2 linked regions of the Rattus norvegicus genome follow. Each later gene encodes a partner of the first gene's protein in a complex. Links are inferred from orthologs where the notes say so. Each region holds a gene or a part of one and is shown on either strand. Other genes may lie near its edges.

Evidence for each region. The genes of interacting proteins can lie anywhere in the genome.
Region 2: the proteins of Jaml (region 1) and Cxadr are in contact, whole or in part, in a crystal structure (PDB 3MJ7), measured with the Mus musculus proteins. The link is inferred for Rattus norvegicus from reciprocal best matches to the Homo sapiens genes JAML and CXADR. Residues at the interface, in NP_001005421.3 of Mus musculus: Arg57, Asp59, Ala69, Tyr72, Phe75, Tyr77, Leu80, Val82, Glu120, Arg122, Ser127, Met128, Val129, Met130, Lys131; in NP_001020363.1 of Mus musculus: Thr23, Gly51, Pro52, Asp54, Glu56, Leu58, Ser60, Gln65, Ile66, Val67, Asp68, Gln69, Val70, Leu73, Tyr83, Lys121, Lys123, Lys124, Ala125, Pro126, Gly127, Val128, Asn130.

Annotation. Positions count from the first base shown.
Region 1 is NC_086026.1:54,280,223-54,284,504, reverse strand, and holds the start of Jaml (junctional adhesion molecule-like), read right to left. Parts: upstream 2,910-4,282; 5' UTR 2,756-2,909; intron 1-2,755. UniProt on the Homo sapiens protein: Transmembrane protein of the plasma membrane of leukocytes that control their migration and activation through interaction with CXADR, a plasma membrane receptor found on adjacent epithelial and endothelial cells.
Region 2 is NC_086029.1:30,500,648-30,504,294, forward strand, and holds part of Cxadr (coxsackievirus and adenovirus receptor homolog isoform 1 precursor), read left to right. Parts: intron 1-566; coding exon 567-689; intron 690-1,224; coding exon 1,225-1,363; intron 1,364-2,406; coding exon 2,407-2,671; 3' UTR 2,672-3,647. UniProt on the Homo sapiens protein: Component of the epithelial apical junction complex that may function as a homophilic cell adhesion molecule and is essential for tight junction integrity.

The sequences.
Region 1 (4,282 bases):
GCAGACAGGAAAAACCGAGGTACAGGTGAATGGTGAGATCTGCCTAAGAATGTTCACGTAGCTGGTTAGCACAGTCTAAATTCAAGCCCAAGCGCTCTGGCTATCTGGATCTTTCAAGCCCAGCCTATGTCATCACGGTTTCTCCACACCCACCAAAGTTGCTGGTGTTTTAGTGTGTGGACTCCCTAGGCTTTATTTGGAGAAGCAAGATTAATATGCTCCCACTGATTGAAAGTTCTTCCAAACCTCGGCTCATACCTCTGTGCCCTGAACTCCCGTTGGCTCCTCTTTCAGATGTCAAGTGAAACATCCTCTCAGGGAATCCTCTTCCCAGCCATCCATCCCAGGACAGGACGCCTAGCCACACACCTTCATGGTGCTACTTATCTCTCCGGCATGTGTCACAGCTAGTAATCATCTATGTGCTGGGTTGCTCATCTGATTAAATATTTGCTCTCCCCAAGGTGATAAGTTCCAAGAGGCTAAGAAGGTGTTTATGTATCACTATAGCTCTGGTATCGGGGTCGGGGGACCAGGAAACCCTCAATTTACAGCTTCTCAAACAAGCTCAGGATGACACCTGGGGAATTTACCAAGAAACCTCTAGTTAGGTTTCAATTTCCTGGGTGGGTGGCAAATATTCAGAAATTTTTTTATACACACACACACACACACACACACACACACACACACACACACCACTTAGTGAGGGCGAATGTGTCATCAGGAAATTCCATTCTGTGATCACCATCCCAGAGCACACCTATGCGAGCTAAGATGGCTACAATGCTGCTAGGTTATGTAATCTTATAGGACTCCTGTCTGTGCATTGTCAACGGAAATGTTATTTAGTACATGACTGCACACACACACACACACACACACACACACACTCACAGACACACACGCACAGACAGACACACACACACCACACACACAGAGACACACACACACACTCACAGACACACACACACAGACAGACACACACACAGACAGACACACACACAGAGACACACACACACACACAGACACACACAAACAGACACACACACACAGAGACACACACACAGACACATACACACCACCACACACACTCACAGACACACACACACATACATACACACACAGACACACACACACCACACACACACACAGAGACACATACACACACACATACCACACACACTCACAGACACACAGACACACACACAGACAGACACAGACACACACACACACACTCACAGACACACACACACCACACACACACTCACAGACACACACACAGACACACACACAGACACACACACACAGACAGACACACACATACACACACATACATACACACACAGACATACACACAGACACACATACACACAGAGACACACACACATACCACACACACTCACAGACACACAGACACACACACACACAGAGACACACACACACAGACACACACACACAGAGACACACACACAGACACACACACAGAGACACACACACACAGAGACACACACAGACACACACACATACATACACACACAGACACACACACACACACCACAGACACATTCAGAATTGCCTTGCTGATGGGCCTGTGAAACTCTCCTCTTTACCCCGCTCCCTTTCTGGATACTGACTTAGCTCAGCAGACACCCTTCCTTCAGGTAATGCCACACAGCCAGTCATTTCCCATGCTGGCTGAGCATCTGACCCAAACCCAAGGCTCCTTCCCAGTAACTCCTGGCAAATCTACCCTATCTGTCTGAGGTTGTGTGCAACCACCAGAAACCCTTTCCTACGATTAACAACGAATGGGAACTTTCCCCCCTGGGTATAATTACAACAGGGGAGAAAAGCTCCAGAAAAGAGACTTGCAACAATGAGAATGTCACACAGAATGTGACAGTGGCCCTCAGAGATGAGAGTATTGCAAGACAATGGAAGAGCAGGGCACTGTCTCCTAGCCAGTTTGCCCCTGGTAATCGCAAAGACTACGGAATCAGACAACTGTGTGGCACTCTTAAGCCTGCCTCTCTCTACTGAGGTGCTAAGTCCTTTCAACTCCCCTGCCCGTTCCTGTGCACCTTTGGGCTCTCAGAAATGTCTAAGTTTACGAGTCCTCATGACCACTCTGAGATACAGTGCCCTTGACTTTCCTTCTGGGACCATGTGATATAGATTGGGTAGAAGGGTGCTTCGTGGCTTTTGAAGCCCAGCCTAGGCTACATGCTACTCGGATGGTTCCTTGGGAACCATCCTCCTTTCCCTCCAGACCAGCATCTTCCTAGTGATCATCCGGGCTGCATCTGCCTTTCTGGAGGCTTGTGCTCTGTCAGGGCTGATGAGTGAAGACAATAGTCTAACTCTCCAGGGAACTGCTGCCGCCGTGGTGACTTATCCAGAACACAGAGAAAACAGTGAGGTAAGAGTCCTGCCACAAGCTCAAAACAGTCACGATTCTGCCTCAAGCCATCAGCCACAGGAAAGCTAAAACTGAGCAACCTCGTCTGCGTTGATCGCAAGCAAGGCTTACTTCTCTTTCTGTGAGAACCTTGACACGAAGTACACGGCAGAAACAAAAGCTGCGCCTACTTGCCTACCTCACGGCAGCCCACCTACAGAGACCGGGAATTCCACAGACGTCCTCCTCATCCTGTGGCAATGCCAATTTAACCACCTTTCCTTTGAATGAAAACTAGCCATCTTCTCAGAACAGCTCAAACAATGGCGCACAGCACACAAAGTCACGGCTTACCCAAGATGACAGTGCCCAGGAGAAACAGTGCACCACGATCCCCTGCCGCAGCATCTCCTACAGCAACCAAGGGACTTCTGCCAGCACAGTAGGTCAGGCTCAAAGCAAACCAGATGTGCATGCCTTCTGCGGTGGCTGTGGAAACAGAAACAGGAACTCCTGATCAAAGTTCTCCATTCAGTCATCTAGCTCACCGCTCAATTCGCATCTATATTTTCATTATTTTTAATTGTTTTTTTCAATGTTACAAATGGTATTCAATGTATTGTGATGGCCATATTCACCCTCATCACTCTCTCTTAGTCCCAGCTCACCCTGCTGATCCTCTTCCCCACTAGTCCTATGCTTGTGTGTGTGTGTGTGTGTGTGTGTGTGTGTGCTGTGCACGTGTGTGCATAGGGGGTGCATTGTGCGCATGTGTGTGCATGTGTGTGTGCCTGTGTATATGCATGCATGCGTGTGTACATGTGCATGCCTGTGTGGTGTGTGTATGTACGTGCATGTATGCATGATGTGTGTGTGTAGGAGTGATGCCTATGTCCATGTGTTCATGTCCCTGTATGGTGTGTTTCTACACACATGTGTGCATGATGTGTGTATGTGGGGATGATGCTTGTGTGTGTGTACATCTGTGCCTGTCTGTGTGCATATGTATGTGGTATGTGTGTGTATGTATGTATGAGCACCTGTGTATGTGGTATGAGTGTGTCCCTGTGTGTATGTGTGGTGTGTGTGTGTGTGTGTCCCTGTGTGCCTGTGTGCCTGTGTGTGTGCATATATAGGTCTTCTGCAGGTAGCCACAGCTGCTGTGTGGACATGATTACCATGGTCATGTCATAACCAGAAGCAAGGCACTCCTATCTTCTGGCTTTTATATTCTGCCTCCTCTCTGGCAATGTCCTGGCGCCATAGAGGGGTTGACAAAGCTGTCCCACTCACACTGTGTATATTTTTTATTCTAAAAGGAAAGACTTGCAACTCACTGAAGTGAGCCTCACATCCCAGGTCCCTGCAGATCTCACCTCCCTTATGGATTACAAACTCTACAAGCAAGATCTCAAATGGGCCAGGTCTGGCTGTGTACGCCCAACATCTCAGCACCCAGAAGGCTCAGGCAGAAGGAGCCAGCCTGGATTACACAGTGAGCCCCTATCTAAACAAAAACACAACAACAAAAGATCTTGAGTGGCAAGAGCATGTGCTGAGAAATCAGCGTTATGTAAATAAAGCCCAATTAATTTAAGAAGGATAAAAAGCGCCGGGCTATGTGTCAGGCAGGCAGCTTCATGTTTCTCTTCTCTTACCATACAGATGCAGCCTGGCTAATCAATCACTTTTAGCTGCTTCCAGAGATTCCCTGCCCAGCGCTCCAACCTACCATGTTGCTGCATAGGTTTCCTCAGACTGTGAAGGTTGCCATCATACAGGGAGCAAGTTGTTCTCCTAGCAAACCCTTTGAGTGGCTTGGCCATCTTGGGGAACAACTCAGGACATTCTGACTGCCAGATACCTGTTTTAATCACCACT
Region 2 (3,647 bases), on another chromosome or scaffold:
CTTATAATTACAACCAAGTCTCCTCAAAGAAGAAATATTTCTATAAAGATTTCACCTTACGCATTTTGTAATTGGTGACTGTGGTAAATCTTTCGTAATGTTGAGAACTAGGCACGGTCACAAGTCAGTGGGGAAAGTACCAGAGTGTAATCATGGTGGTTCTGCCTGGGTTCTTACTGTTGTTCCAGTAACTTACCCATGTAAGTTTAAACCAAACCTACGTAATGGGACATGAGCTAAAAAGTTACAACTTGGCTAAATGTAACCATTCATGTGATCATTGTAGCTGCTGTGCAGCAGACCAACCACCTTGCTTTAGCTGAGGCTGTGCCCGAGGGGATATAGTAACTGTAAGCTTGCTTATAGGACCTGCAAGATGGTTGTATGAATTCTGGAGATGTGCATCATCTGCTCCTGGCAGTTTTTCTGCACCCAGAATTATCTGTCTTTTAACTACATTGCCAAACTTATGTGAAGTAAACTTCACACAAATTAGTGTTATTAAAAACTGACAGCAATCCATCCTGTAAAAGCAAATCTACTCTCCCCCTGCTTTTCTTTCATAGAAATGACTTCACCGGTTATATCTGTGAAAAATGCCAGTTCTGAGTATTCTGGGACCTACAGTTGCACAGTCCAAAACAGAGTGGGCTCTGATCAGTGTATGCTACGACTAGATGTTGTCCCTCGTAAGTACATTCTCTCACATGCTTCACCTCTGTTAGCTCTCATGGCCTTGTTCAGCATACCCAGTGAGGGTCTCTGATGGCAAGGATGCTCTCCCTCATTGGACACTCTAGGCGTTTGCTCATTTTCCTCGTTCATGCAGAAGAGAAGATATGATGGTTTTATCAATAAAACCGTCACTTAGGAGATGAAAGTTGTCAAATCAGCTTTGGTCCACTATTTAGCCATTAAAGTTATGAAGCTTATGACATTTCTGTGTGCTAATCTAGACAGGTTGCACTCAGATTCCATCAGTTTTTAAATTTTGGTGATATGTGTCATTCAAAAGAAAATAACTTTTATACATTTTCCTTGCTAGACAAAAGCTTTGATGATCTCTTTTAAAAATTAATATATGCAATGATTCTGTCGGTCTCTTTCTACACACACACACACACACACACACACACACACACACACACACACACTCTTTCAGTACTAAGCCCCCATGTGGTGGGTTTTCTTACTCCTTCTAATTCTGTTGCAATCTCACGCTAGCCTCCAACAGAGCTGGAACGATCGCGGGAGCTGTCATAGGGACGCTGCTTGCCCTTGTGCTCATCGGGGCCATCCTCTTCTGCTGTCATAAAAAACGCAGAGAAGAGAAGTACGAGAAGGAAGTGCATCACGACATCAGGTAATCAAGTGAAACTAGACTGGACAGGTGTATAACAGTTCCATCCCCAGAACCTCCGTTCCGAGGCACTCTGGTGAACTAAGGTATTGTGAAAAGTGCGTGAACGCTTTGATTCCTCCCTTCAAATCCCCGCCAAGCATGTGTGTTCAGATGTCTGACCACTTCCAGCAGCACTGTGAAACCTTCACAGTTTCTTGTCCTGTTTTTAGAATCACAGCCAAGTGTGTGTCTCAGGAAGACCTGCTGTTTCCTGTGAAAAGACCTCGTGGTCACTAAGTGGCATGGGTAGTTTGTGGAACTGGTAATGGAGTTTTAGTTTTTCTTCTTGGGACAGTCTCACCGTGTTGCCCAAACTGCCCTTGAAGTCATAATCATAGAGTTCTGCTAAGTGGTGGGGTCTCGGGTGTCACTACCAGACATAGCTTTATTTTCTCAAATATTCTAAATGGGAAGATTTTAACTAGGGTTATACTTTAAAAAATAAGAACACATGACTTACACAGCTTAACAACTTGGAAATTGTTGTTAGTTAGGTCAGGAGATTGGAGACCTGAACGCTTGTTGTTTAAGATGCACCCAAAGTTATTCAGGTTTATTTATATTCTGTGTCCATGCTTGATGAAAATTCTCAGGCACCAATTTTCAGGTTTTGAAAACAAAATATGTAGTTTTTGGCTGACATCTTAAGAGGGCTTTTACAGCAAAAAGGAATTCTTTCTTTCCTTTGGGGGTATGTTTATGTGTCAATGCTTTAAGTATTAATGATATGGCTTAACATAATCATCAATGCTAGGAGATGAAACTGAAATGTCTTCCTCATCATACATTACAAAACATGCATTTGTACAAAAGCCACAGCTCAATTACTGCTCCTTACGGTCTGACCACGGTAATGAATTGAGACAGGCACACAGTTAACGAGGTGAAGTCTCACTCCGCTCACTGTTTGCATTGTCCTTACCCATGCTTTGTAGCTTACATAACTGTAAGGTTTTAGAGGTGAGCGTTCATTTTTAGCATGTACTGGGCGCTTTGTTTTCCAGGGAAGATGTGCCTCCTCCGAAGAGTCGGACATCCACCGCCAGGAGCTACATCGGCAGCAACCATTCCTCCCTGGGGTCCATGTCCCCTTCCAACATGGAAGGGTATTCCAAGACCCAGTATAACCAAGTCCCCAGTGAAGACTTTGAACGTGCTCCTCAGAGTCCGACTCTGGCACCCGCTAAGGTAGCTGCCCCTAATCTAAGTCGAATGGGAGCGGTTCCTGTGATGATCCCAGCACAGAGCAAGGATGGGTCTATAGTATAGAATTCTGCACCTCTCTTCTCCGCTTTCCATGGTTCGATTCTTCTCTTGACATATCAGTACTTATTCTAAATTTTGTTAACAGTAGCCCATGTATATGTATGTGTGTGTATATATGTGTAAGTATGTATACATACATACACATATATACATAAACACACACACACACACACACACACACACACACACACGTGAAGAAATTTATAAGGAACATGCTCCGTAAGAATTTTTGGTTATAGTAAATAATAAAGGCTGAAGAGTAATGACATTGACCAACTGGAAATTTTACCAAGTTGATTTCTAAGGGCACCTAAACAATAATGCCCTTATATCCTGAGAAAGATATAGCACTTTGAGTATGATGTCATGGGTCAAGAAATTTGTGAATTTACGGACGTACCAAGTTGATTCTTGAACCATCTGAAAACGATACTTTGTAGTTCCTACCATTATTTGTAGGGTATCTGTCTCATTTATTTATGTCTCTCAAAAAGAAATCCATGGAAAAACCTACTTAATGTAAGAATTTGTTTTTATAGTCTGAAGTGTATTCCATTATTTGTAAGAGTAGGAGACCTGACAGTGTTTTAAAAATGCCTAGTTTTATTTCTAAGTCTTTCACGATCACTGATGACACGATTTCTTTTCTTTCTTTTTTTCTTTTGTTGTTTTGAGATTGGGCCTCAGTGTGTTCGTTGCCTAGGCTGGCCTCAAATCATGATCCTCCTGCTTCAGCTTCTTGAATGCTGGGCTGACTAGTCTGTATCAGTTCCTTAAGTATTTAACCTAGAGACTACAGCAGCCACAGAAAGTAGTAACCTTTTGTGCACTACAAAAAGAAGCACCTTTCAGCTTCGGTAGCATTTGCCTCTGCTACACACAGAGGTGAAACACTCGATGCTCCACGGGTCGGGGGAGGAAGAGGAGGAGGAGCGACGCGGAGGTCTGCGCCTCGGGGCCTGTGGACCTCAGCAGAACT